Arabidopsis thaliana: one gene and its partners. Each later gene encodes a partner of the first gene's protein in a complex. Each region holds a gene or a part of one and is shown in the gene's direction. Other genes may lie near its edges. The genes, in order: GTF2H2, XPB1, UVH6 and AT1G18340.

Region 1 (4,468 bases):
TTGAATCCTCTCAGAGGTTATGTGTCTCTGCCACAAGTCACTTTCGGCCGTAGAAGGTTCAAATTAGGGTTTTATACTCTGTTTCACTTGATGAGTATTTCAAAATTTTGGATTTGTTGTTAATTTGTGTCGATTTTTATTGCAGATGGGATTTACCGGAATCTGAGAATTCGGTTTTGGCGTCAACAGCTAATGAATTGAGGAGAGACAGATACGGCACTCCTGTAAATCCTGAGAAATTGAAAGCTGCTGGTGAAGGGCTTCAACATAGTATGATCACTTCTCTTCTTTTGTTTATCTGCAAATCAAATCTTTTTGAACGTGGATAATTGGATTTATGGATACAGTTACCTACAGAGGAACATGACTAGATTTGGGTTGTTTGCTAGAGATAGAAGGATTGCTATCTTTACGTGTTCTGTTTTCACTTCCTTGCTTTTGTTAATGTTGATCATGTAAATTGCTTGCCCAAACTTGTCTATTTTACCTTGTTAGGGACTGCAATGGCAGTAATTCTGAAAGGTTTCAGCTTACTAGAGAAAACTTTGGTTTGTTTGGTTATGAAAGCCAAGATTTTCCGTGGCTGAGGGTTCATGAGTGTCTAATGTAACAACTGCTTTCTGGTTGTCTCTTTTTGACTCTGATGACAAATAATCTAAGTATCTCTCTCACAGCCTAGAAATTGTTGATAATATTGCTTAGATTGAGATTCTGTTATTGTCTTTTGTCTTTTAATGTTAATTGATGTCGTGAAGTGTTCGGAAAGTTTGCCTAATCTCGAGCCCTCTGATTTTTCTGGTTTCTGCAGTTGGAAAAGCATTTGCAGCCGCTACTATTATCATCTTTGGTTCAGCCACTTTGGTTTTTGGAACGGCAGCCTCGAAACTTGACATGCGTAATGTAAGATTGCATATGTTTCCATTTTCTTACTTAAATCATTTAGATTAGCATTTCTAAGCATTATTGACTGATCTTGAATGCCATCATCGCCTTACTTGGTTTTATTGTATGATTTTCGTTCTGTTAGGCTGATGACATAAGAACGAAAGGCAAAGATCTTTTTCAGCCAAAACTGGAGTCGATGAAGGAACAAGTAGAGCCCTTAAGAACTTGGGTAATGTTTTACAAAGATACTTGCATCTTCTCAACTGAAGTGGATCATAATCATTAATAGACTAACCCGAAAAGACCATAAATTTCAGGCTGAAAACATGTCGAAGAAGTGGCATATTGAGAATGAAGGTGGTAATACTATCAAGGAGAAACCAATCTTGAAGGAGCTTTCGAAAATTCTGGGACCTAAATCTTAAAAGGCCAAGACCTTTGGTTAATGTGTAACCATGTGGATAGAGAAAGTCAAAGAAGAAGTTCTATATGTTTGTAAGATTCAATAAGATCTTAGGTAAATTATCATATTGTGCTGTAAGAACTAAGAAGTTTCAATGTTGCTGTATAAAGGTTGTATCGAGTGATTTAAGTTTTGTATAATAAAGTTTTTATGAGTTTCAATATCAATGTTTCCTATTGTGTAAGCAAAATAAAATGTTTCACTTCTGATTGGACATGGATTGGTGGGTTAAATATACAGAATAGGAAGTTACAGTCAAAATTGTGAACGTTATAATAAGTAAGGGTTGTTTATGTAAATTTTGGCTTCAGTAGAGTTCTCTTCTTCTTTTTGTAATTAGGTCTCTTAGACGGTGAGGTTAACGATGAGTAATCAAAGAAAGAGATCAAACGATGAAAGAGAAGAAGAGGACGACGAAGATGCGGAAGGTATCGGCGAGTGGGAGAGAGCTTATGTTGACGACCGATCCTGGGAGGAGTTGCAAGAGGATGAGTCTGGACTTTTACGGCCAATTGATAACAGTGCCATTTACCATGCTCAGTATCGCCGCCGTCTTCGTATGCTCTCCGCCGCTGCTGCTGGTACTCGTATCCAAAAGGGACTTATTCGATATCTCTACATCGTCATTGACTTCTCTCGGGTAAATATTTTTCTTTGCAATCCGCCGCTGCTGCTGCTGATTTTGTGATTTTTAGCTTCAATGCCGTTTCCTTTGAGTTTGATGGCGTGAAATTGAGCTTATGTTGCTTTCATCAGAGCTTATATAAAAGAGAAACTATGCACTTTGGGTCACTGATAAGTAACTTTAATGTAATCGTCGTTCTAGTTTTGGAGATCTCTGCTCTTTAGTCTTCTCAATAGGTTCTATAATTGGCTCTGTATTGTTTGCAATGATAATCTTACTCTAAGTGGGTTTGTAGAGCTTAAGGATGTGATCCTTATTCAGATTCTTTATTGAAGGCAACATTATGATTTGGGTTCAAATTTCTCTAGTTCCAAGGTATGCAAAGTCTTACACTTTGGACTGTTTTGTCGTGTCTAGGCAGCTGCGGAAATGGATTTCAGACCAAGCCGGATGGCTATAATGGCCAAACATGTCGAAGCTTTCATTAGAGAGTTCTTTGACCAGAATCCTCTGAGTCAAATTGGGTTGGTCTCTATAAAAAATGGAGTTGCGCATACATTAACAGATCTTGGTGGTAGTCCTGAGACTCACATCAAAGCGTTGATGGGGAAGTTGGAAGCTTTGGGTGACTCCTCTTTGCAGAACGCTCTGGAACTTGTACATGAGCATCTCAACCAGGTTCCATCTTATGGTCACCGCGAGGTTCTGATATTGTACTCAGCTTTATGCACATGTGATCCAGGCGATATCATGGAGACCATTCAAAAATGCAAGAAATCCAAATTAAGATGTTCTGTAATTGGGCTCTCTGCAGAAATGTTCATATGTAAACACCTCTGCCAGGAAACTGGCGGATTGTATTCAGTTGCAGTGGACGAGGTGAGTTTAGCTACCTTCTACTTACACTTGGACCTTTGAAAAACTTGTTTTGTATGGTATAACATTGTGCTTTGTGTGTATTTGTCTTTTCACGCAGGTGCATCTAAAGGATCTTCTGCTTGAACATGCGCCTCCACCTCCGGCAATAGCAGAATTTGCAATTGCAAATTTGATCAAGATGGGTTTCCCACAAAGAGCTGCTGAGGGTTCAATGGCGATTTGTTCGTGTCATAAGGAAGTTAAGATTGGAGCTGGTTACATGTGCCCAAGATGCAAAGCTCGGGTATGTGACCTCCCTACGGAATGCACTATCTGCGGTCTAACACTTGTTTCTTCGCCGCATTTGGCGAGATCATACCATCATCTCTTCCCGATTGCTCCATTTGATGAGGTGCCTGCACTTTCAAGTCTGAATGATAATCGGAGAAAATTGGGAAAGAGTTGTTTTGGTTGCCAACAGAGCCTAATTGGTGCAGGTAACTACTTGAACACCATTTTATAGAGTCTTAATACTGTTGGTTGAATAACCATTTGGTCACTAGACCAGTAGTTGAACTTAAGATACGGTTCACCCTTGTCATAGTATATACAAAGTAACCGATCCATTCACTCAAATATAAAGGCTCATTGGTGCTTTTGTTTTTTGCTTAGGGAATAAACCCGTCCCATGCGTAACATGTCGTAAATGCAAGCACTATTTCTGTCTGGACTGTGACATATACATCCACGAGAGCTTACACAACTGTCCTGGCTGTGAGAGCATTCACCGTCCCAAATCAGTTTCTTTGATGGAAGAATGAGAGAATGAATGTGTTCACACTTCCAATTATAAATCACAATTGAGATGATGAGAGGAAGCAATTTTTTTTGTGATATAGGATGTTGTAATTGGTCTTATGTCCTTAACCAAAATCTTTCTTCTTTTGTGGACTCTATTGCTCTCTCACAATTGATCCAAAACAAACCGACTCAAATTTTCAGAGATAGCATTCTTAATTGTTTGATTTTCTATTTAACTTGGGCTTGAAATTTCTTCACTCATGAGAAAACGAACAGTAGTAATAAAGAATTATTTCGGTGGTAAACAAAAGGAGACCGTATCATCAGTTGTTTGTTGATACTGTCATGACAAGGTCGCAACTACTTCCCTAAATATCTCTCTGTTTGTTAGAAGCTTTTATATTAGATCTAAGTGAAACAATTCTTAGTGATTGTCATAAGTAAACAACGTACTTAATCTTTGAGAAAAGTCCCTAACACCACCATGAAGGAAGAAGATACTAACGTCACTAGGTTCTGCAAGGCAACGTCTGCGTGTAAAGATGCAGCATTCTACTACCTTGAAGGATTCGACTGGAATCTCGAAGACGCCATCTCTGGTTTCCTCGGTGATCAACTTCCTCCGCTCAAAATAAGAGCGACTCCACGGAGGGTGAATGAATGGCGAGAGCGATCTCGATCTCCTTTAAGAAGAAGATACTCTACTACCTCTGTCTCGGAATTTACGCTGAAGATGCGCCAAGATGAGATAACCATAACGAAAAGCTCTGATACGGGTGCTTTGGCCACCAGGTGGGTGATTTAATAATATTAAGGGCTCGGTAATCCAAATCATC
Region 2 (7,317 bases), on another chromosome or scaffold:
ATGTGAATTGATTAATTGATATTAGAAAGTTCTTTCCTTTTTTTTGATATTTGTTTTCTAGCATATCATGATATCGCCTCGAGAATACCTTTGAAAATTATTTTGTTATTGTCAACTGTCATGATATCTCGCTGAACCAACATATAAAACACGATTATAATTTGGTTGACAGATCCTGAACAACAGTAAAACGTACTTAGTTTTCGAGGTTAAAAAATAATTACTTGTCATGATTTCGAATTAAAAATAATAATGGGCTCAATTTGAGATTAAAGAAAGCCCACGCTAAAAGAGGCCTACTAAATGCCCATATTGGATCCGTTATTGTAGCCTTTCTATATATGAATCGAGTTTGCATTTCTGCTATAACGTTCTCTGCATTCACATGATCACATCAACTCAGTAACGGACTCGACATACCCGGACCTGGACCCGACACCGAATCCGAATCATAATGCGACGGAGACGCAGCTCGCTTCTCGGTCTAGCTTACAACGGAAAATATTTACGGTACCGTTTGTTTTCCCTCTGTCGTAGAATTTCTGTCTTCGACACCGGATTGATATAATCGATTGAAAAGACAAGAGATAATGTCTAAAATTGATTCGATGAAGAGAAAAAGATCAATATGGGGAACGATAAAAGTCTCGATCTTACTGATTTTGGTTAATTTTCATATTACCCTGCAAAAAAAAGTATTGTCAATTCTGGGGAATTTTGTTGTTCAGGTGAAAGATGAAGAAGACCCGACTCTGTGTGTTTTTTCTTTTAAGTGTCGTACTGATGAAGAAGATCTGGGTCAATTAGTCATCCGTTATGGCCCAGTTGTTAAGATGTTATCCAAATCGTAAGAAGAAGGCCCGACATGTTTTTGAGACGTTGGTAAGAAGAAGGTCTTGCTTCTTTTGTGCATCCAGATAATGTCTATATGACCAAGGTAAGAGCATCCTCATTGCACATCCTCCAATGAATGTCTTTCATATTAAATAATATTAAATTTAAAGACCCTCTCTCTTTTGACAGGTAAAATGTCTACTATTAAGACACATCCATTTATTATTTTCCACTTTTTTAAGTAGTTTAAAAGTTTAAAGACACCCATAAAAGATATGCAATGAGGATGCTCTAAGGGACCGAGATTATATACTGCTGCAGATGGGGTAATGTAATGCTATTTGTCTTGTGCAGGAGCGTTGGATGTACATTGGTCTCCTCTTGGTTCATACTTTGTGTCACTTGAGAAGGAGAAGAACGTGGCAACTCTTTGGGCATTGAATCGTCTCCCATTCTCAGACCATGTACATTGCACAATTTTTATGAGTATCATAAGCCCAAAAATATTAAATTAATGAATAAAATAACTGATTTGGGTTTAAGTAGTATCACTGGAGTGATTTCTTTGATACCAGTCTCTGATAACGTGGCGGGTTATGATTAGTTGGGAAAACATGTTTTTGTGTGAAAAGAGAGAAATTTTTTTTTTCGATTAGTCGGGAAAACGCATCTTTTCGATTTTGCAATTTTTTTTTTTTAATGATACTAATACGATTTCACCGGTGGAAACAGATTTATTATCAATATTATAAAAAGTTTCAAACAATAAATAAACATTAAAATTAATAGTAAAATATTATTAATGGTACTCTATGAGTACCAACTATGTGCATGCTCTCATGCGCTTTCCTTCCTCATCCTATGGTTTGTCTTTCATCTCCCATTTTGCATATGTAAGAATAATCTTAGAGGCTAAAAGAAAAAAGAATGGGCTCAACGTGAGAATAAGAAAGCCCACATTAAAAGAGGTCTATTAAAGCCCATATTTGATCCGTTATTTATTTGTAGCCTTTTGAATCTTCTACTTTACATTTCCCTTCCTTGACATTAATGATTAAACCAGTGATACCCGAACCCGACACCGAATCCGATTCAAAATCCGCCGGGGACGCAGCTACTCCCTCCGCCAAATAGCTTTCAACGGTAAATTTTCACGGCGCCGGTTGTCTTCCTTCTTTGTTCTTCTCAGGAATCGCTAATTGATAACTTCAATTGGAAGATACAAGACAAAAAAAGAAGATCAATATGGGAAACGGTATTAAGCAGCTCGATCTTACTGATTTTTGCTTAGTTTATCTTGCCAAACAAAAGTATGCCAATACTGTGAAGTTCTGTTGTTCAGGTGAAAGAGGAAGACCTAACAAGAAGATGAAGTATGGTGGCAAGGTTCGTCTTGATTCTTCTCCAGATCAATTTTTTATTTTATCAATTAGGGCTCTTCAGATGGTAGTTAGTGAGTGTAATTGTACTGTCAAATCTCAGGATGATCAAAAGATGAAGAACATCCAAAACGCTGAAGATTACTATGATGATGCTGATGAAGACTCTCGTGATGGTAAGATTGTAGCATACTTATTACTTACAAATGGATACATTTGGAACAAAATTGAATTGAAAAGTTATAATGGTTTTTGAAGGTGAAGGAGAGGAGAAGAAGAGAGATTTTACTAAATTGGAGTTGAAGCCAGATCATGGAAACAGGCCTTTGTGGGCTTGTGCTGATGGAAGGATTTTCTTGGAGACATTTTCTCCTCTCTATAAACAAGCTTATGACTTTCTTATCGCCATTGCTGAACCCGTTTGCAGGTTCGATTTTGATTTGGTGATTATATCAATGTACAAGTTATGATTTTTGTTGTTGATTTTCATTCATTTGTTACTATTTCAGGCCTGAGTCAATGCACGAGTATAATTTAACCCCACACTCGTTGTATGCTGCTGTTTCCGTTGGTCTTGAGACAGAAACTATCATTTCTGTTTTGAATAAACTGTCTAAGACTAAGCTACCCAAGGAGATGATTGAGTTCATCCATGCTTCTACTGCTAATTATGGGAAAGTAAAGCTGGTTTTGAAGAAGAATCGGTATTTTATTGAGTCCCCATTCCCAGAGGTAAGTTCATTAGGCTGATGCTCTGTCTCTGCTCTTGTGTATTTGGATATTGGTTTTCGTTTTTCCATTGCCTTTGCTCAATTGTAAACACAAAACAATCTCAGGTTTTGAAAAGGCTTCTCAGCGACGATGTTATAAACCGAGCTAGATTTTCTTCTGAGGTATGTTGAACTCCTCCATTTAGTTCATTATGTTTGCTTTCAAGATTTTATGCTGGATGGAAATACATACCATTTTTGGTTGTTCTCAACGGTGTTTTGCATCTTTTGTCACCAGTGTGGCAGATATATATATATTTTGATTCTCTCAGGTTCTTGGTTTCATGTTTATATTCCTAACTCCTAAGTTCCTTGGAACGATGTTTCAGTTGGTAAATTAACTCATAATCCTTTTTTCTTAAACTCTTGATTCATTGACTGTTGATTTATTTAATCTAATACCATTGTATTCTCCACAGTATGTCGAACCAACTTAGATTAACTTTTTTGGTAGCCATATTATGGCGGTGATGGATTCTCGGTCGGCAGAACATGCGGTGAACTTGAAGCAGGACCCGGGGAGCTATTGAATGAAGCGGAATTTGCAGCAGCAGCAGAAGAGAAAGAAACTCACTCATTTGAGATTGACCCTGCACAGGTAAATTTCTCCTAATGCTTCTTAAAAGTAATCGAATTGATGAGTTTGGTAAAGTTGTATGATCTTTACTTAACTCGTGGTGTCATGCTCTTTTTCTCTTGGTGTTTAGGTGGAGAATGTGAAGCAGCGTTGCTTACCAAATGCCTTGAATTACCCTATGTTAGAGGAATATGACTTCAGGAACGACAATGTGAGTAACAAATATTACACTTCAGGCCAATTTTTGCTTACCAGATGATATGCACCGCAGGTGTGTGATTGTTAATAACTTGATGGTGTCTCTCAGGTTAATCCCGATCTTGACATGGAACTGAAGCCCCATGCACAACCGAGGCCATACCAGGAAAAAAGTTTGAGCAAAATGTTTGGGAACGGTATAGCTGTCTGCATCCACATTATTTTTCCTTATTGATGGTGAACTTCTCATAGATATGTCCACTTGTACTTCCACGTGACTGATCTAGCTTTATGGTGAACACCTAATAGATAATTATCTTTGTAATTTCTTGAGAAATATTGTGACTGATCTTGAATCTTGGATTTGCAGGGCGAGCAAGATCTGGGATTATAGTGTTGCCTTGTGGTGCTGGTAAATCTCTAGTTGGTGTTTCTGCAGCTGCTCGTATAAAGAAGAGTTGTCTTTGTTTGGCGACGAATGCTGTCTCAGTGGATCAGTGGGCCTTCCAGTTCAAGTTGTGGTCTACTATAAGAGATGACCAAATATGTCGTTTCACTTCTGATAGTAAAGAACGATTCCGTGGAAATGCTGGTGTTGTTGTGACAACCTATAATATGGTTGCCTTTGGTGGTAAACGGTCTGAGGAATCAGAGAAGATTATAGAAGAAATGAGAAACAGAGAGTGGGGGTTACTGCTCATGGATGAGGTAATCAAATTGATGTTAGTGTTTGCTGGTAGTTATTTTGCGGAAAAGTCATATGTTCGTTGAGAAGGTGTATCCAGTGTTGAGCCCATGAATGCGATCTACAAACAATAAGTTTCCATTCTATGCTTGACTTTTCAAGATTTCTGTTTTGTTTTAGGTGCATGTGGTTCCAGCCCATATGTTTAGGAAAGTTATCAGTATCACAAAATCTCACTGCAAGCTAGGACTTACAGGTAATTTAAGGGTTCATTTTCACATACATTTACATATGTATACTTCAGTTGCAGAAGCTAAGTTTCTTTTTTGGACTTTTGTTCAGCCACCCTTGTGAGAGAAGACGAAAGGATTACAGATTTGAACTTCCTCATTGGCCCGAAACTCTATGAAGCCAATTGGCTAGATTTAGTTAAAGGAGGCTTTATTGCAAATGTTCAGTGTGCTGAAGTATGGTGTCCCATGACCAAAGAGTTTTTTGCAGAATATCTAAAGAAAGAGAACTCCAAGAAAAAGCAGGTTCATGAATATATGCTTTTTTGCATTTTCTGAAAATAATATCTGAGATTGTTAGATATCTGATCTTTATGTTAGTTTCATCTGATGCACTAGAGTCCATGAATTTTATGTAGTCTGGAACCTTGAAATATTGTAAGCATCAATATAGGTTCTTTTTTTAGTGTGCTTTTCTAATTTGGAAAATGCTCTAATAGAACCACCATGGAAAGTCTATGGAATTGGAGCTAGTAAACCTTGACAGTTGTTCTGACATGGGTCTTCTGGTATCTGCAGGCACTTTATGTCATGAACCCTAACAAGTTCAGAGCCTGTGAGTTTCTGATTCGTTTCCATGAACAACAACGTGGGGATAAAATCATTGTCTTTGCAGACAATCTTTTTGCGCTTACAGAGTATGCGATGAAACTCCGGAAACCAATGATTTATGGTGCAACCAGGTTCGTTCAAGTTCTATTGATAACACACTTTTTTCGTTTTCACTCAATTTCCAATTTGATAATTCAATTTTTTTTTCAATATGTAGTCATATCGAAAGGACAAAAATTCTCGAGGCGTTTAAAACCAGTAAAGACGTGAACACTGTCTTCCTGTCAAAGGTATAAACATTGTTTCCTTCATTATATAAATTTGTCCTTCCTCCATTCCATGTTCGTTAGGGAACTTAATTTCCGTTTGGTTTATTTGACTACAGGTTGGTGATAACTCCATAGATATCCCTGAAGCTAATGTGATTATCCAGATTTCGTCACATGCTGGTTCTAGACGTCAAGAGGCTCAGCGTTTGGGTCGTATTCTTAGGGCTAAGGTTTGAATTTCGTACTCATCACTTAAGTGTCTCTTTTAGTTTCTCTTGTTGGTTGGATCAAATTTTTTTGATATTTCTCCATATGATGAAAACAGGGTAAACTCGAAGATAGAATGGCCGGTGGAAAAGAAGAGTACAATGCATTCTTCTACTCACTTGTTTCGACAGATACACAGGTAAATCACTAAAGTGAAGTAGGCATAAAAACTGAATTTCCTCAGACCGAACCCGAATTAGAACCAAAATATGATTCAGTTCTTGCCCGACCTCGTTTTCTAAAACCCGAAACATGAAACTTGAACTGATAATACAAACACCCGTACTCGTATCTCCATGTGAATGGCTGATTTAAGGATTGTGAATGTTGAAAATGCAGGAAATGTATTATTCGACGAAAAGACAACAGTTCTTGATAGACCAAGGTTACAGCTTTAAGGTTATAACAAGCCTCCCACCTCCGGACGCGGGTTCAAGCTTGAGCTACCATAGTCAAGAAGAACAGTTGTCTCTTCTTGGAAAGGTGATGAATGCTGGAGACGATCTGGTCGGTTTAGAGCAACTCGAAGAAGACACAGACGGAATGGCTCTACAAAAGGCGAGACGAAGCATGGGATCGATGAGCGTAATGTCCGGTTCAAAAGGAATGGTCTACATGGAATACAACTCAGGCCGTCACAAATCCGGTCAGCAATTCAAGAAACCTAAAGACCCAACCAAACGACACAATCTCTTCAAAAAACGTTACGTGTGAGAGAAACAAAGAGAAGCTTTCAAGAGTTTTCGGCTGTTTGTTTCGAGTTGTATGTAACTTTTGTGCAAATTTGTTGAAATTAACAAATAAATTACTTAAATTAATAAAAAAATGTATGATGTATCATGTATGTAAGTATTTTTTTTATTTTTATTTTTTGTAAGTATTATGACATTGTTTAAATATGTAAGTGTATGTTTCTATTTCGAGGAGGCTACTTTGCAATTGTGGAGGAAGTTGGTAAGATAGTAAGATACCCTCACCAAACACAAACATGCACAACAGCAAAAATGTATAAAGATAAATCGAGATAAAATGAATTATCAATGTTCGTCCCACGTAAGAGGAATATTATTTGTTAATAATTCTTTCTTTTTTTATTCCTATGTATTTATATGTATACCTTTTGTATTTTTATAAGCTAAACCTACAATTAAAGTTCTGTGTAGGTAGCATTTTGACCACTTTTTCAGTTACATTGATTTACTTAATTTTTTGTCTATTTAGTCCTAACGGATTGATATTCTTTATCTATTTCTTTGACAAGCTTCATGATCACAAATCTTCAAATGGCCAACTCCCATTGGTTGCAAATTATAATGCTCTATACTATCATTTGAAGCATCTTATTTCATTAAAGTGTACTCTTATAAAAATCATAAGTGTGGAAAAAAAAACGAAAAAAAAACATAATTATTAGAAATACAAGATATTTGAATCCAAAGTTAATATTAAGATTGTAATAAATGTGGATTATCATAATCTGTATGTTGAATACTTTA
Region 3 (6,632 bases), 670 kb from region 1:
TCTACGCAATTGTGCACACTACTTCCTTTTGGTTTTAGAATTAAGTCTGTTGTATCCACTATGAGTGTTTTACTGAAAACCAGAAACTTCAATTTGCAGCTTTGGTTTTGGCTACACAAAGCTCCTTCTACCAATATGACTGTTGTTGGTTATTTACATCTGTGCAGGGTATTACAAGACATGAGCCTTGAATTTGAAGGATTGCAAACTGAATTTATGGATTTGGTATGTTAGTCCTACAGACGCCATTTTCACTTTAAGGTCTAAGGTCTTTTTCACACTCTAAGAATCTTAGGTTGTAGGAGACGAATCTTGCAGAACCTCAAGTGAAACCACTGGTTAGAAGAAAACTGATGAGTAGAAAGAGAGAGGTGAAGAATGAGATTAAGAAACTGGAGAAACTGATGAAAACCATCTCTAGTCTCCGAAGTGCGCTGCAGTTAATGATCCGTGAAGCTCCTGGCATTCAGAAAGTTGTGTTGATTCTTGGTGGTAGTCCATTACGGCCTCAAAATGCTTATGAGTTGTTATTCACACAACGCAGAGACCATGTTCTAGGCTACGAAGGTGACTTTGCTAAATCCAAAGCTGCAGAAGCACTTTCAAAAAAGGTTTATTCTTTTTCTTACCTCTGTTTTCATGTTGCTTGTGATTTGTCTCTTTTCAATTTTATCTGCTGTGATAAGTCAAAAATGGTTGAGCCCTTCACTCTTGGCTTTACAGACTATCCGAGCACTGATCTCGACGGGTGCTGGATCAACTTCCTACCCAGGTAACTTTTGCATAAATTGCAAACTTCTTTAGCATTGTTGTGAATTATGGTGTAATGATTTTTTTCCCTTCTTCTGAGTTGCAGGTCCAATGAGGCTCTTCATATTGGTTCATGCTCCACCTACTTTGAATCTTCCACAACATTTCCTTCCTAAACGTGACTTCAGATACAACAGAAAGGTATACACTTCTCTGCTAATTCTATTTCACACATCCATGTACAACATTCCGATTTTCCGTCACCTGCAAACATCTTTTATTATTGCAGTTTGTGCCTTCAAAGTTGAGATTCAAGTGCAGAACGCAAGACAATGCAACAAATTCTCCTCCCACAAATGATCTAATATGGTACTTCTCTTATTCACAATTCTCCAGTTACACACTAAACAAGTTCTTGACCATGCCTTACTGTGTCATTGCAGGTATCAATGTCGACATGTGATAAAGGGATTAGCTTTCCATCAACCAGTTGAAGAATAAGACTTTAGAGTTTGTTTGTATCTCTCTATTGTTGTAACTAAACCCTGTTGCAAATTTTAGAAAAAAACCAGCATTGTTGAAACAATTCCAAATCTTGAGATGACATTGTACTACTACTACTGCATACTCTAATACTCTGTTGTTTTAACAAAATCAGGATTGTTCAACTATTTTATATTTTTGGACGAATTGTTAACATTTAAAAACCTAATTTTGTCGAGAAGTTTAATATACATAAAGTTAGGGGGTCAAACGCATTAAAATAAATAAATAGGGGGTCAGAATGAAAAAGAAACAAAGCTTTAAGTTTTTCTAATAAGAGTCCTCCTCTTCTGTTTGCTCTGGTTACTTCGGCAAACACAGACGCAAAATTTTCTTCTTCTTCTTCTTCTTCTTCTTCTTCTACCTTGAAGCTGCTACCGGTTCCTCTCTCAGTCGTTGATAACACATCGAAGCTTCCATTATCACCTGTAAGTTTTCTCCTGTTATCTTCTCTTCGCTTGATCTCAATTGTTCCTTCTTTCTCGTTGTTCGGGTTTATCTACTCCAACTTGAATCGCTTGTTTTGCTAAAGTGAATTCGAGTTTTTTAGGGTTTTGTTAGTTCTAATGCCAATTTCGATTTCTAGGTAGGAGGAAGAAGATGATCTTTAAAATCGAAGACGTAACTGTCTACTTCCCTTATGACAACATATATCCAGAACAATATGAATACATGGTTGAATTGAAGCGAGCCCTAGACGCTAAGGGACATTGTCTTCTCGAGATGCCTACCGGAACTGGTAAAACCATTGCTCTTCTCTCTCTAATCACCAGCTATCGACTCTCTCGTCCTGATTCTCCGATCAAGCTTGTTTACTGTACTCGTACTGTCCACGAGATGGAGAAAACGTTAGGTGAGCTTAAGCTACTACATGACTACCAAGTACGCCATCTCGGCACCCAGGCTAAGATCCTCGCCCTTGGTCTTTCCTCTCGGAAGAATCTTTGCGTTAATACTAAGGTTTTAGCAGCCGAGAATCGTGATTCTGTTGATGCGGCCTGTAGGAAACGAACTGCTAGCTGGGTTAGGGCTTTGTCCACGGAGAATCCAAATGTAGAACTCTGTGACTTCTTTGAGAACTATGAAAAGGCTGCTGAGAATGCGTTGTTGCCTCCTGGTGTTTATACTTTAGAGGTAAGATTAAAAAAGTTAAGGTTTTTCACATTTGTTGTTTGATCAAGTTTATGTTTTAGTTGGAATGCTTATTTCGAGGTTACTTGCACATTTTGCCTGATGGTATATGTGTGTTTCGATTTTTAGGATCTAAGGGCGTTTGGTAAGAATCGTGGATGGTGCCCTTACTTTCTCGCGAGGCATATGATTCAGTTCGCCAACGTTATTGTTTACAGCTACCAATACCTACTGGATCCTAAGGTTGCTGGGTTCATATCAAAGGAGTTACAAAAAGAGTCAGTTGTAGTGTTTGACGAGGCCCATAATATCGATAACGTGTGTATTGAAGCACTCAGCGTCAGTGTGAGGAGGGTTACACTTGAAGGAGCTAATCGAAATCTTAATAAGATAAGGCAAGAAATTGATAGGTACGCTAATTTTTTCCTATATAGCTGATACTCCTTAAGTTCTCTTGAACGTGCCACTCTTAATACAACAATAAACACAGTGATAGGGTCTTTTCTTTTTCAATTGAATTTCCTGATTGTTCTTGAATGCCATCTGGGTGTCTGCTCACTCCAGTTGCTAATTGTTGGTTTTCTTAAGGAAGTTTAAGTTAGTAAGAAAATAATCTGGTTTTATGAGACTGCTTTTTGTCAAAGAACTGTAAGGGGAACAAAAATTTACAAACGCTTTTGTCATCATCTTAAACACATGAAGCATAATTTTCTTGGTTCAATACAGGAAGTGACCTGGTTATTTGCTGATGCTTATTTTTAAGTTCTTATTACATTATTGAAATTGTCCAACTGGTAGGAAGGTTCAAGGCTACTGATGCAGGAAGATTGCGAGCTGAATACAACCGGCTGGTTGAGGGTTTAGCACTGAGAGGGGACTTATCTGGTAAGTATGTGTTCAGGAAGGTGATCTGTGATTTGATTGAAAGCACACAGTAAATTTTCTAATTCTATGAACTTGACGCAACAATTTTTTTTTTGCAGGAGGTGATCAATGGCTTGCAAACCCTGCACTGCCTCATGATATTCTAAAGGAGGCTGTCCCGGGGAATATTAGACGGGCTGAGCATTTTGTGCATGTTTTACGCCGATTACTTCAGTACTTGGGGGTACGGCTGGACACTGAGAATGTAGAGAAAGAAAGCCCTGTTAGCTTTGTATCGTCACTGAATTCTCAGGCTGGAATTGAGCAGAAAACACTGAAGTTCTGTTATGACCGGCTCCAGTCTCTCATGCTAACCCTTGAAATTACAGATACAGATGAGTTTTTGCCTATCCAGACAGTGTGCGACTTTGCAACTCTTGTTGGGACATATGCCCGGGGATTTTCCATCATCATCGAGCCTTATGACGAGAGAATGCCCCATATTCCAGATCCTATATTGCAGGTAAATATGGTGTTGACCTACTTTCTTTTGAGTATTGTCACTGGGATTTTAAGGGATTATGACTCACACGTAAATGCTACCGTTTGAATAATTGAGAATTGTATCTGAAACATATATCCTTTTGTATCTTAGTTGAGCTGTCATGATGCGTCTCTGGCGATCAAACCGGTGTTTGATCGTTTCCAGTCAGTCGTGATTACATCAGGCACATTGAGCCCAATTGATCTTTACCCCCGTCTTCTTAATTTCACTCCTGTTGTTAGTCGAAGCTTTAAGATGTCAATGACACGAGACTGCATCTGCCCTATGGTTCTAACTCGGGGAAGGTATGTGGTATATAAAAAGAATCCTGAACACTTAACTTATTTTTTAATTTTATATGTCTTGACATTATTGGTTGTTTTCTTTTTCAGTGATCAGCTTCCTGTTAGCACCAAATTTGACATGAGAAGTGATCCTGGTGTTGTGAGGAATTACGGAAAGCTTTTGGTAGAGATGGTATCTATTGTTCCTGATGGAGTTGTCTGCTTCTTTGTTAGTTACTCATATATGGATGGCATTATTGCTACATGGAATGAAACTGGAATTCTGAAGGTAAGGTCTTCTTCATCGCTTTACCATGCCAGTAATTTTTTCAGAGTTTTGCATGAATTGGAATTTTTATGATACCTCAAAATATTTTTAGTTGCTTCAGGCATTAATGTATATTTGTTTACTGATATTACCAATTCTCTTAATGTTTGTAGGAAATAATGCAACAGAAGCTTGTTTTCATTGAAACACAAGATGTTGTAGAAACAACATTGGCACTGGATAATTATCGCAGGGCTTGCGATTGCGGAAGAGGTGCAGTTTTCTTCTCTGTGGCCAGGTAAAATTTTTATTTTTGAATGGTAGATGGTTTGGGAATTCATTGCAATGCGTCTTTGGTTCTGCTTCTTTGTTTCTGTATTATAATACTGGAATTGTCTCTTCTCTCCTATTCTTGGTTGGTTAACAAATATTAAAGAGGTTTCACTTTTGAGAAATTTCAAAGAAAGTGATCAAATTTTGTATTTGAACTGCAGGGGGAAAGTTGCTGAAGGTATCGATTTTGATCGTCATTATGGAAGACTGGTTGTAATGTACGGAGTACCATTCCAGTATACATTAAGCAAGTAAGTTGTACTCAAATGAATGTTTATCATTTCAATTTCCGGTTTTCTGCTTTTATATTTCATCGTACTTGGGAGATGATAAGATGGAAACGGGAAAAATTTCAGGATATTACGAGCAAGATTGGAGTATTTGCACGATACATTTCAAATAAAAGAAGGCGATTTCCTAACTTTTGATGCCTTGGTATGATTCTTATTTTATGATCTTATTAGATTTTGGTGTGCAACTCTTTTACCTGTTTGTGACTGTTGTTAACTCTTTTTGGCTTTAACACAGAGGCAAGCAGCTCAATGTGTAGGGCGAGTAATCCGGTCAAAGGCTGATTATGGGATGATGATATTTGCAGACAAAAGGTACATGCCCGCCTTAAGTTTTCTCTCTCTGAGTCTGGTCATTTAGATTCTTGCTATTTTACTAAATGGGATTCTCTCTATAATCTATCTAGTATGATAATAAGTATATGCGCAAGTATCTGAGATCACCTCGAGAATAGAAGATTGTAACAGAGTTCACACTGTTCCTTAGGAATGGGAAAATATTCGTAGGACAGAAGAGAGACACAGATATATGCTTATGTTGGTTTATAATGTCACATTTCTATGGTCTAACAATACACTGCAATTGATGGTAAAACTTGCAGATACAGCCGTCATGATAAGCGGTCCAAACTACCTGGTTGGATACTTTCGCATCTGCGTGATGCACACTTGAATCTAAGCACTGATATGGCTATTCACATTGCTCGAGAGGTAAACCTATAACTCGCTGCTTTTTTATAACTCACAGTGAAACAAACAACAAGGCATAAAGAATCAACAATTTTCCTGGTTTTTGTTTTTTTTGCAGTTTCTTCGGAAAATGGCTCAACCGTATGATAAGGCGGGTACAATGGGAAGGAAAACTCTGTTGACACAAGAAGATTTGGAGAAGATGGCTGAGACTGGTGTGCAAGACATGGCTTATTAGTAAATCAGTTTGTTTGTTATTTTTTGGTTTAGGTCAATCAAAAATTGTTGTAGCAAAAATTTTCACTGTAGGTATTTTGTTCTTTTTCTTGATGATTTTCAAGAATCGAATTGAAATTTAAGGCTCGTAAAAGTTTCGTTTTGGTTTTAAATCTATTGAAATTAGCAAAATTTATGCTTAATGTTAAGATAACTAGATTATCATATTCACTCATTACATCATTTTAGATCAAGAAATACTTCGTCGGCTCCTTGTTAAATCTATCAAACATACCACTAAAAAAAAAAAATCTTAAAGAATGATTAAATAAATTTAACCAAGCAGTAGAAGTGGAATTGAAATTGGCAGAGTTAGTGCGACGACCCAATCACCTGTCTCCAATAACCGCCTCAAAAACTGTCGAAGCCCATTGGGCACTTGCAAAGCCCAACAGTTGGAGTTCCAGCTCACCCACTAGCCGTTATTACGCAGGCTAATTTTTCAACGTGCGAGAAACCAGATTTCCTTTTTCCCGAAGACTATTTAGGGAATTTCCTCTCTTGAGCCAAATTTTCCTTTTTCCCAAGGGGGGTATTTAGGTATTTTCGTCTCTCTCGGCCAAGTTTCCTTTTTCCGTTCCTCCGTAATAAAGCTTTCATTCTTTTTGTAGGTTTCCATTAGAAGTTCAGAAATACTGTTTATAAATACAAATCCAGAG
Region 4 (4,687 bases), 4.9 Mb from region 1:
ATTTAAGTGAGGAGCCTGGGAAGCTAATAAATCTTTCCATTAAATGTTAATCACTCTTTTTTGTTCTTTATCTTAATTATTATTTGTTGAGTTGTATCTAAAAATGGCAACTAGTGTGTCTACCGTTTATGTTTATCTTGCACGAGGTTAAATGCATGGGACTGCTATCTGTCCTACTTACCCGGAACCTGGCTATAGTGGCTTGTGTATATTGAGATAAATCTACGCAATAATGATTAGATTTATATACATTTAAAGAGTTTGTTTTAGTGATTTTGAATGGTAACTCAATTATCAAAGTTTGTTACAGCCTGTATCGTGATAATTACAAATTACAAAGGCGTTATAAAAGCGTTACTTTTAACGTTTTGCATTAATGATTAGATTTATATGCATTTAAAGAGTTTGTTTTAGTGATTTTGAATGGTAACTCAATTATCAAAGTTTGGTACAGCATGTACCGTGATATTACAAATTACAAAAGCGTTATAAAAACGTTATTTTTAACTTTTTGTACTACTTATTTATATAGTTTTGCATTCTAATTTACAGCTAAAACAACTTTAAAGCTTTGTGTTACCTATCAGAATCGTTATCTTCACATTCAAACACATAATCCATTGTTGTTGAAAAATAATAATACTTTCAAAACATTTATTTTAGTGATATTAATTTGACTTGATAGTAAGATTATTATTTACTCATAAAGACATTGGTGGAATTTAGTTATATAATTTTCATATACTAAACTATAGGAGATTTTAAAGTTTAATGTGAATTTGTGAGGTTCAATGTACCTCGGAGGCTAAGGACTTCTAATGAAAATGACCAAACAATAAGTTATATTTAGGCCATCATGCAAAAGCTTTCCAATGGCCATCGCCATTAATATTGCCAAGTTAATTATTAATATGATTTTAGTAAAAACTATGATTAGATCTTCAGATTCTTAGTGGACAGTCACACATGACCCTACGGATTACAAGTATTTAGCATGTCGATTGTCATGCGCGTATATATCCAAAGAATACTGAATAAAAATAATATGAAGTCAATCAAATGAATAACAATCAAATTATATGAAGTCAATCAAACCTTTATGAATGTGATTTGCTTCTTTTTCCAACCAAAAAACTTGTTTGTTTATTTGTTAGTTGTTACTCCCAAAAAAATGTAGTAAGCTTTTTATGCCCCATGTATTATATATCAAGACGATCTCCAAACATGACTATAGTTTCATAGGATGGATTGGATATCAGGACATGTGTGAATTTACTAATTTTTAGTATTGAAACAAACAACATTTCAACCAAAATTTTTTACCATTAAAATTAATATATCGACGTCCGATAGTATAAAGCTTGAATAAACTGAATTTCGTATCAGTAGCCAGTTTGAAAAATAAATTTGTTCCTTGAGATTTTGGTGTTCTTTTCCAAAAGAAAGAACAAAGAAAACAAAAGGCCCTTGTAAAAGGCGGTTTAGTTCATAAAGAAAACTGGGCCTATCTAAAAATTTGAACTAATGCCATATTTGGGCTTAGTAAGCCCGGCTTACGATACGACGTTTATAGTCGGATCTGATTCGGATCCAAACCCGTTTGATGGATCCGGCTCCTACCAAATCACTTCAGATTTCTGTATAAGCTAAAAATCCTTGAATTTTTCAGTAAGTTACTATAGCATCCGAGAATTTCATTCTTTAACTCTGGTTCGTAATCGGAAAACTCAAAGACCTGTTGTGAAGATATATTGGAGAAGAAAAAAAAAACGATTTCCCGGCACTGAAATAGCATTATCAGATCTCGTTCCCACCGGGAAGATTTCCCGGCACACTGAAATTCTGACTTGGAATCGTCTGTGAAACTATGCCTGCCATTGCTTCTAAGCAGTATTCAGGTTATTATTAAATTCCTCTTACTTCGAAACCCTCACATTCCTCAATCGTATAAGTATGTAGATTAGATATCCCAAAAACTGGAAACAAGTCTGATTGGCTCGTGATTGTTTTTTTGGTCGCAGACGATGTTAGTCTTCTAGTTTTGTTGCTTGATACGAATCCTCTTTTCTGGAGCACTACATCGATTACCTTCTCTCAGTTCCTTTCTCATGTAAGTGTCTCTAACGAATCTATTGTTTGTTTGTTCAATGCTTCGATTTTTATGCAGAAAGCTTGCTGCTGTTATGTGTAGGTGCTTGCGTTTCTTAATGCGGTTTTGGGGTTAAATCAGTTGAACCAAGTTGTAGTTATAGCTACTGGATACAGTTCTTGTGATTACATTTATGATTCGTCTTTGACATCAAATCATGGAAATTTCGAGAGCAATGGAACTGGAATGCCTGCAATTTTTGGTTCTTTGCTTAAGAAATTGGAAGAGTTTGTTACCAAAGATGAGGAGCTCAGCAAGGAGGAAGTGTCTGAGGATAGAATACCTTCTTGTCTCTTGTCAGGATCACTCTCCATGGCTCTTTGCTGTATCCTCTTGGAAAAGCATATAGCATCATGATAGGTTTCTTGAAGCTATATATAGTACAAACTATTAGGATTTGTTTGCATAAGTTCTGGCAGTGATCTTGAAGCTTAGCTTTCTCTCTAGACTGGGTTAAGTAAGGAACATTTTAGGTTGACATGTTTGTTCTCAGCTAAACCTATAGCATGTCTAAGGCCATCAATGTTATCTGGTAATATATGTATTTGATTTTCAGTCTTCACATTTTGTTGTTGACTTAATTTATGGCTCTAGATATACAGAGGGTTTTCCGTTCTGGACATCTTCATCCCCAGCCTCGGGTGAGTGTTCAGTAGGATATATGTATCAATCAGTTGTCTTGGATAAAACTTTTCATGTTGATTGCTTTGTATGAATCTTCAGCTTAAAGTATTAATGAGAATATAGACTCCTTTTTCTTATGTGTTATCTGTTCTATCGTATACCCCCAAAATACAGAACTGATTGTGCTATTGACGTTTATATGAAATACAGATTTTATGCTTGCAAGGTTCCCCAGATGGCCCGGAACAGTATGTTTCTTCCTTCATTTTTTTTCTACTTGCAAGATTTTGTCTTGTTTGTCTGGTCTCATTAAAAGGTTTTGTCATTCTTTCAGGTATGTTGCTGTTATGAACTCTATCTTCTCTGCCCAACGCTTGATGGTAATCTTCATTTTGATTGGTTCTTTGGGATTTCCGGTTCTTGATGTTCTCTAAATCCAGTATCATGTACCCAAATCACTTCATCAATTGGTTCTTTAGGTTCCCATTGATTCGTGTTACATAGGTGTACAGAACTCAGCATTTTTGCAGCAGGTAATATCATTTCTCCTTTATACATGATTCTAACTCGTCAAACTGGACCTATGCGTCAGCTGTTATCTCCTGGCTTATTTGTAGGCATCTTATATAACTGGTGGTGTACATCATACACCTAAACAGTTGGATGGGCTATTTCAATATCTAACGGTACGCAACTCAAGTCCAAACGCAAACCATTATGTGACTCGTCTCTCATTTAGCGAACTCAATACTCAATGGCTGCTAACTCTGGATTGTTTTGTTTTGCACAAAAGACAATCTTTGCAACCGATTTGCACTCCCGCGGTTTTGTACAACTTCCTAAACCCATAGGTGTAGATTTTCGCGCATCGTAAGTGATCAAGTCATTAACTCTTCAATTAATCGGGTCTTCCTCTGCATATATAACAGATGGTTTTAAGTACAAAATTTGCAGGTGCTTTTGCCACAAGAAGACAATAGATATGGGCTACATATGCTCAGTGTGTCTGTCCATTTTCTGTGAGCATCACAAGAAATGTTCAACCTGCGGGTAAGAGATTTGACCCGTCATGTTCTTTCTCAAGATAACAATCTATCATGTTGTTTGATACTAATATCGAAAAGCTTTTGGAAATTTGCAGGTCTGTATTTGGTCAGTCTAAACTTGATGATGCTTCATCTGCCTCTGATAAGAAGAGAAAAGCTCCTAGTACCTAAAATCATCTTTTGTGCCAGAGAGAAACTGCAAACTTTGTTTAATTGTGTCTTTGCGTTCATTTTCGATAATTTTTATACCATATATCAAAGTGAAATCAATTTTGCAAAGTTTTTGACTCTTTTTTTTTCCTTGAGATAGTACCCGTTGACTTGAGCAAACAAAACAAAAAGGCCTCTAATAGTCCATATAGAAAGTTGGGCTTCTCTATCGAATTTGAACGAATACGACATTTGGGCTGACGTCATTTATTATTGTCGGATCTATTTCGGGTCCAAACCCGTTTGATGGATCCGTCTCCTACCGAATCACTTCAGACGTGGAGAACGAACGAGACAGAGGGAAGAGAATCATCGGTGTGGCGAGCAATGGATTTGAAGAAACGGCGAAAGGTAAAAAAAATCTCGGAAGTAATGTGTATGTTTCATAGCACTCGAAATTTCGATCTTTGATTTTGTTCGAAATCGATAATTGAGAATTGTCGTGCAGATTTTGGAGAAGAAAAAGACGATTCATGACCTTATAAAAAGAGCTTCTTCCATTGACGATCCTCTTTCTCCGTTTGATTCTTTCCGCCGTTACCGAAGAAACGGTAAATTTGTTCTTCTGCTCAATTTTATTTTCGCCAGTTTCTCAAAAATATGGGATTTTGTTTATGCGAACTGATTATCATTGACAATGATTTGATGCATATAAACT

Evidence for each region.
Region 2: GTF2H2 (region 1) and XPB1 share a complex: the UniProt entries of both Arabidopsis thaliana proteins name them as parts of the 7-subunit TFIIH core complex.
Region 3: GTF2H2 (region 1) and UVH6 share a complex: the UniProt entries of both Arabidopsis thaliana proteins name them as parts of the 7-subunit TFIIH core complex.
Region 4: GTF2H2 (region 1) and AT1G18340 share a complex: the UniProt entries of both Arabidopsis thaliana proteins name them as parts of the 7-subunit TFIIH core complex.

The regions. Positions count from the first base shown.
Region 1 is NC_003070.9:1,448,097-1,452,564, reverse strand, and holds GTF2H2 (general transcription factor II H2), read left to right. Parts: upstream 1-1,663; 5' UTR 1,664-1,712; coding exon 1,713-1,988; intron 1,989-2,390; coding exon 2,391-2,852; intron 2,853-2,949; coding exon 2,950-3,328; intron 3,329-3,503; coding exon 3,504-3,652; 3' UTR 3,653-3,934; downstream 3,935-4,468. Other genes in the region: AT1G05060 (coiled-coil protein), read left to right, coding at 1-56, 146-270, 809-900, 1,028-1,114, 1,203-1,310; AT1G05040 (UBA-like domain protein), read left to right, coding at 4,117-4,424. UniProt on the Arabidopsis thaliana protein: Component of the general transcription and DNA repair factor IIH (TFIIH) core complex, which is involved in general and transcription-coupled nucleotide excision repair (NER) of damaged DNA and, when complexed to CAK, in RNA transcription by RNA polymerase II.
Region 2 is NC_003076.8:16,549,258-16,556,574, forward strand, and holds XPB1 (DNA repair helicase XPB1-like protein), read left to right. Parts: upstream 1-1,861; 5' UTR 1,862-2,079; coding exon 2,080-2,089; intron 2,090-2,176; coding exon 2,177-2,220; intron 2,221-2,316; coding exon 2,317-2,389; intron 2,390-2,471; coding exon 2,472-2,640; intron 2,641-2,722; coding exon 2,723-2,945; intron 2,946-3,049; coding exon 3,050-3,106; intron 3,107-3,437; coding exon 3,438-3,581; intron 3,582-3,690; coding exon 3,691-3,771; intron 3,772-3,867; coding exon 3,868-3,955; intron 3,956-4,128; coding exon 4,129-4,466; intron 4,467-4,623; coding exon 4,624-4,699; intron 4,700-4,785; coding exon 4,786-4,979; intron 4,980-5,252; coding exon 5,253-5,416; intron 5,417-5,502; coding exon 5,503-5,575; intron 5,576-5,670; coding exon 5,671-5,784; intron 5,785-5,879; coding exon 5,880-5,960; intron 5,961-6,160; coding exon 6,161-6,535; 3' UTR 6,536-6,781; downstream 6,782-7,317. UniProt on the Arabidopsis thaliana protein: ATP-dependent 3'-5' DNA helicase/translocase; binds dsDNA rather than ssDNA, unzipping it in a translocase rather than classical helicase activity. Component of the general transcription and DNA repair factor IIH (TFIIH) core complex.
Region 3 is NC_003070.9:773,929-780,560, forward strand, and holds UVH6 (RAD3-like DNA-binding helicase protein), read left to right. Parts: upstream 1-1,598; 5' UTR 1,599-1,721; exon of another isoform or gene 1,722-1,879; 5' UTR 1,880-1,893; coding exon 1,894-2,427; intron 2,428-2,553; coding exon 2,554-2,834; intron 2,835-3,226; coding exon 3,227-3,309; intron 3,310-3,407; coding exon 3,408-3,811; intron 3,812-3,943; coding exon 3,944-4,137; intron 4,138-4,224; coding exon 4,225-4,405; intron 4,406-4,557; coding exon 4,558-4,682; intron 4,683-4,878; coding exon 4,879-4,968; intron 4,969-5,073; coding exon 5,074-5,152; intron 5,153-5,245; coding exon 5,246-5,322; intron 5,323-5,609; coding exon 5,610-5,718; intron 5,719-5,815; coding exon 5,816-5,935; 3' UTR 5,936-6,116; downstream 6,117-6,632. Other genes in the region: AT1G03180 (non-structural protein), read left to right, coding at 168-225, 303-611, 724-772, 857-951, 1,040-1,119, 1,194-1,251. UniProt on the Arabidopsis thaliana protein: ATP-dependent 5'-3' DNA helicase, component of the general transcription and DNA repair factor IIH (TFIIH) core complex, which is involved in general and transcription-coupled nucleotide excision repair (NER) of damaged DNA and, when complexed to CDK-activating kinase (CAK), involved in transcription by RNA polymerase II.
Region 4 is NC_003070.9:6,310,915-6,315,601, reverse strand, and holds AT1G18340 (basal transcription factor complex subunit-like protein), read left to right. Parts: upstream 1-1,670; 5' UTR 1,671-1,867; coding exon 1,868-1,898; intron 1,899-2,021; coding exon 2,022-2,110; intron 2,111-2,191; coding exon 2,192-2,474; intron 2,475-2,743; coding exon 2,744-2,790; intron 2,791-2,983; coding exon 2,984-3,021; intron 3,022-3,107; coding exon 3,108-3,153; intron 3,154-3,252; coding exon 3,253-3,306; intron 3,307-3,390; coding exon 3,391-3,459; intron 3,460-3,566; coding exon 3,567-3,643; intron 3,644-3,727; coding exon 3,728-3,823; intron 3,824-3,914; coding exon 3,915-3,990; 3' UTR 3,991-4,159; downstream 4,160-4,687. Other genes in the region: AT1G18335 (Acyl-CoA N-acyltransferases (NAT) superfamily protein), read left to right, coding at 4,276-4,380, 4,478-4,580. UniProt on the Arabidopsis thaliana protein: Component of the general transcription and DNA repair factor IIH (TFIIH) core complex, which is involved in general and transcription-coupled nucleotide excision repair (NER) of damaged DNA and, when complexed to CAK, in RNA transcription by RNA polymerase II.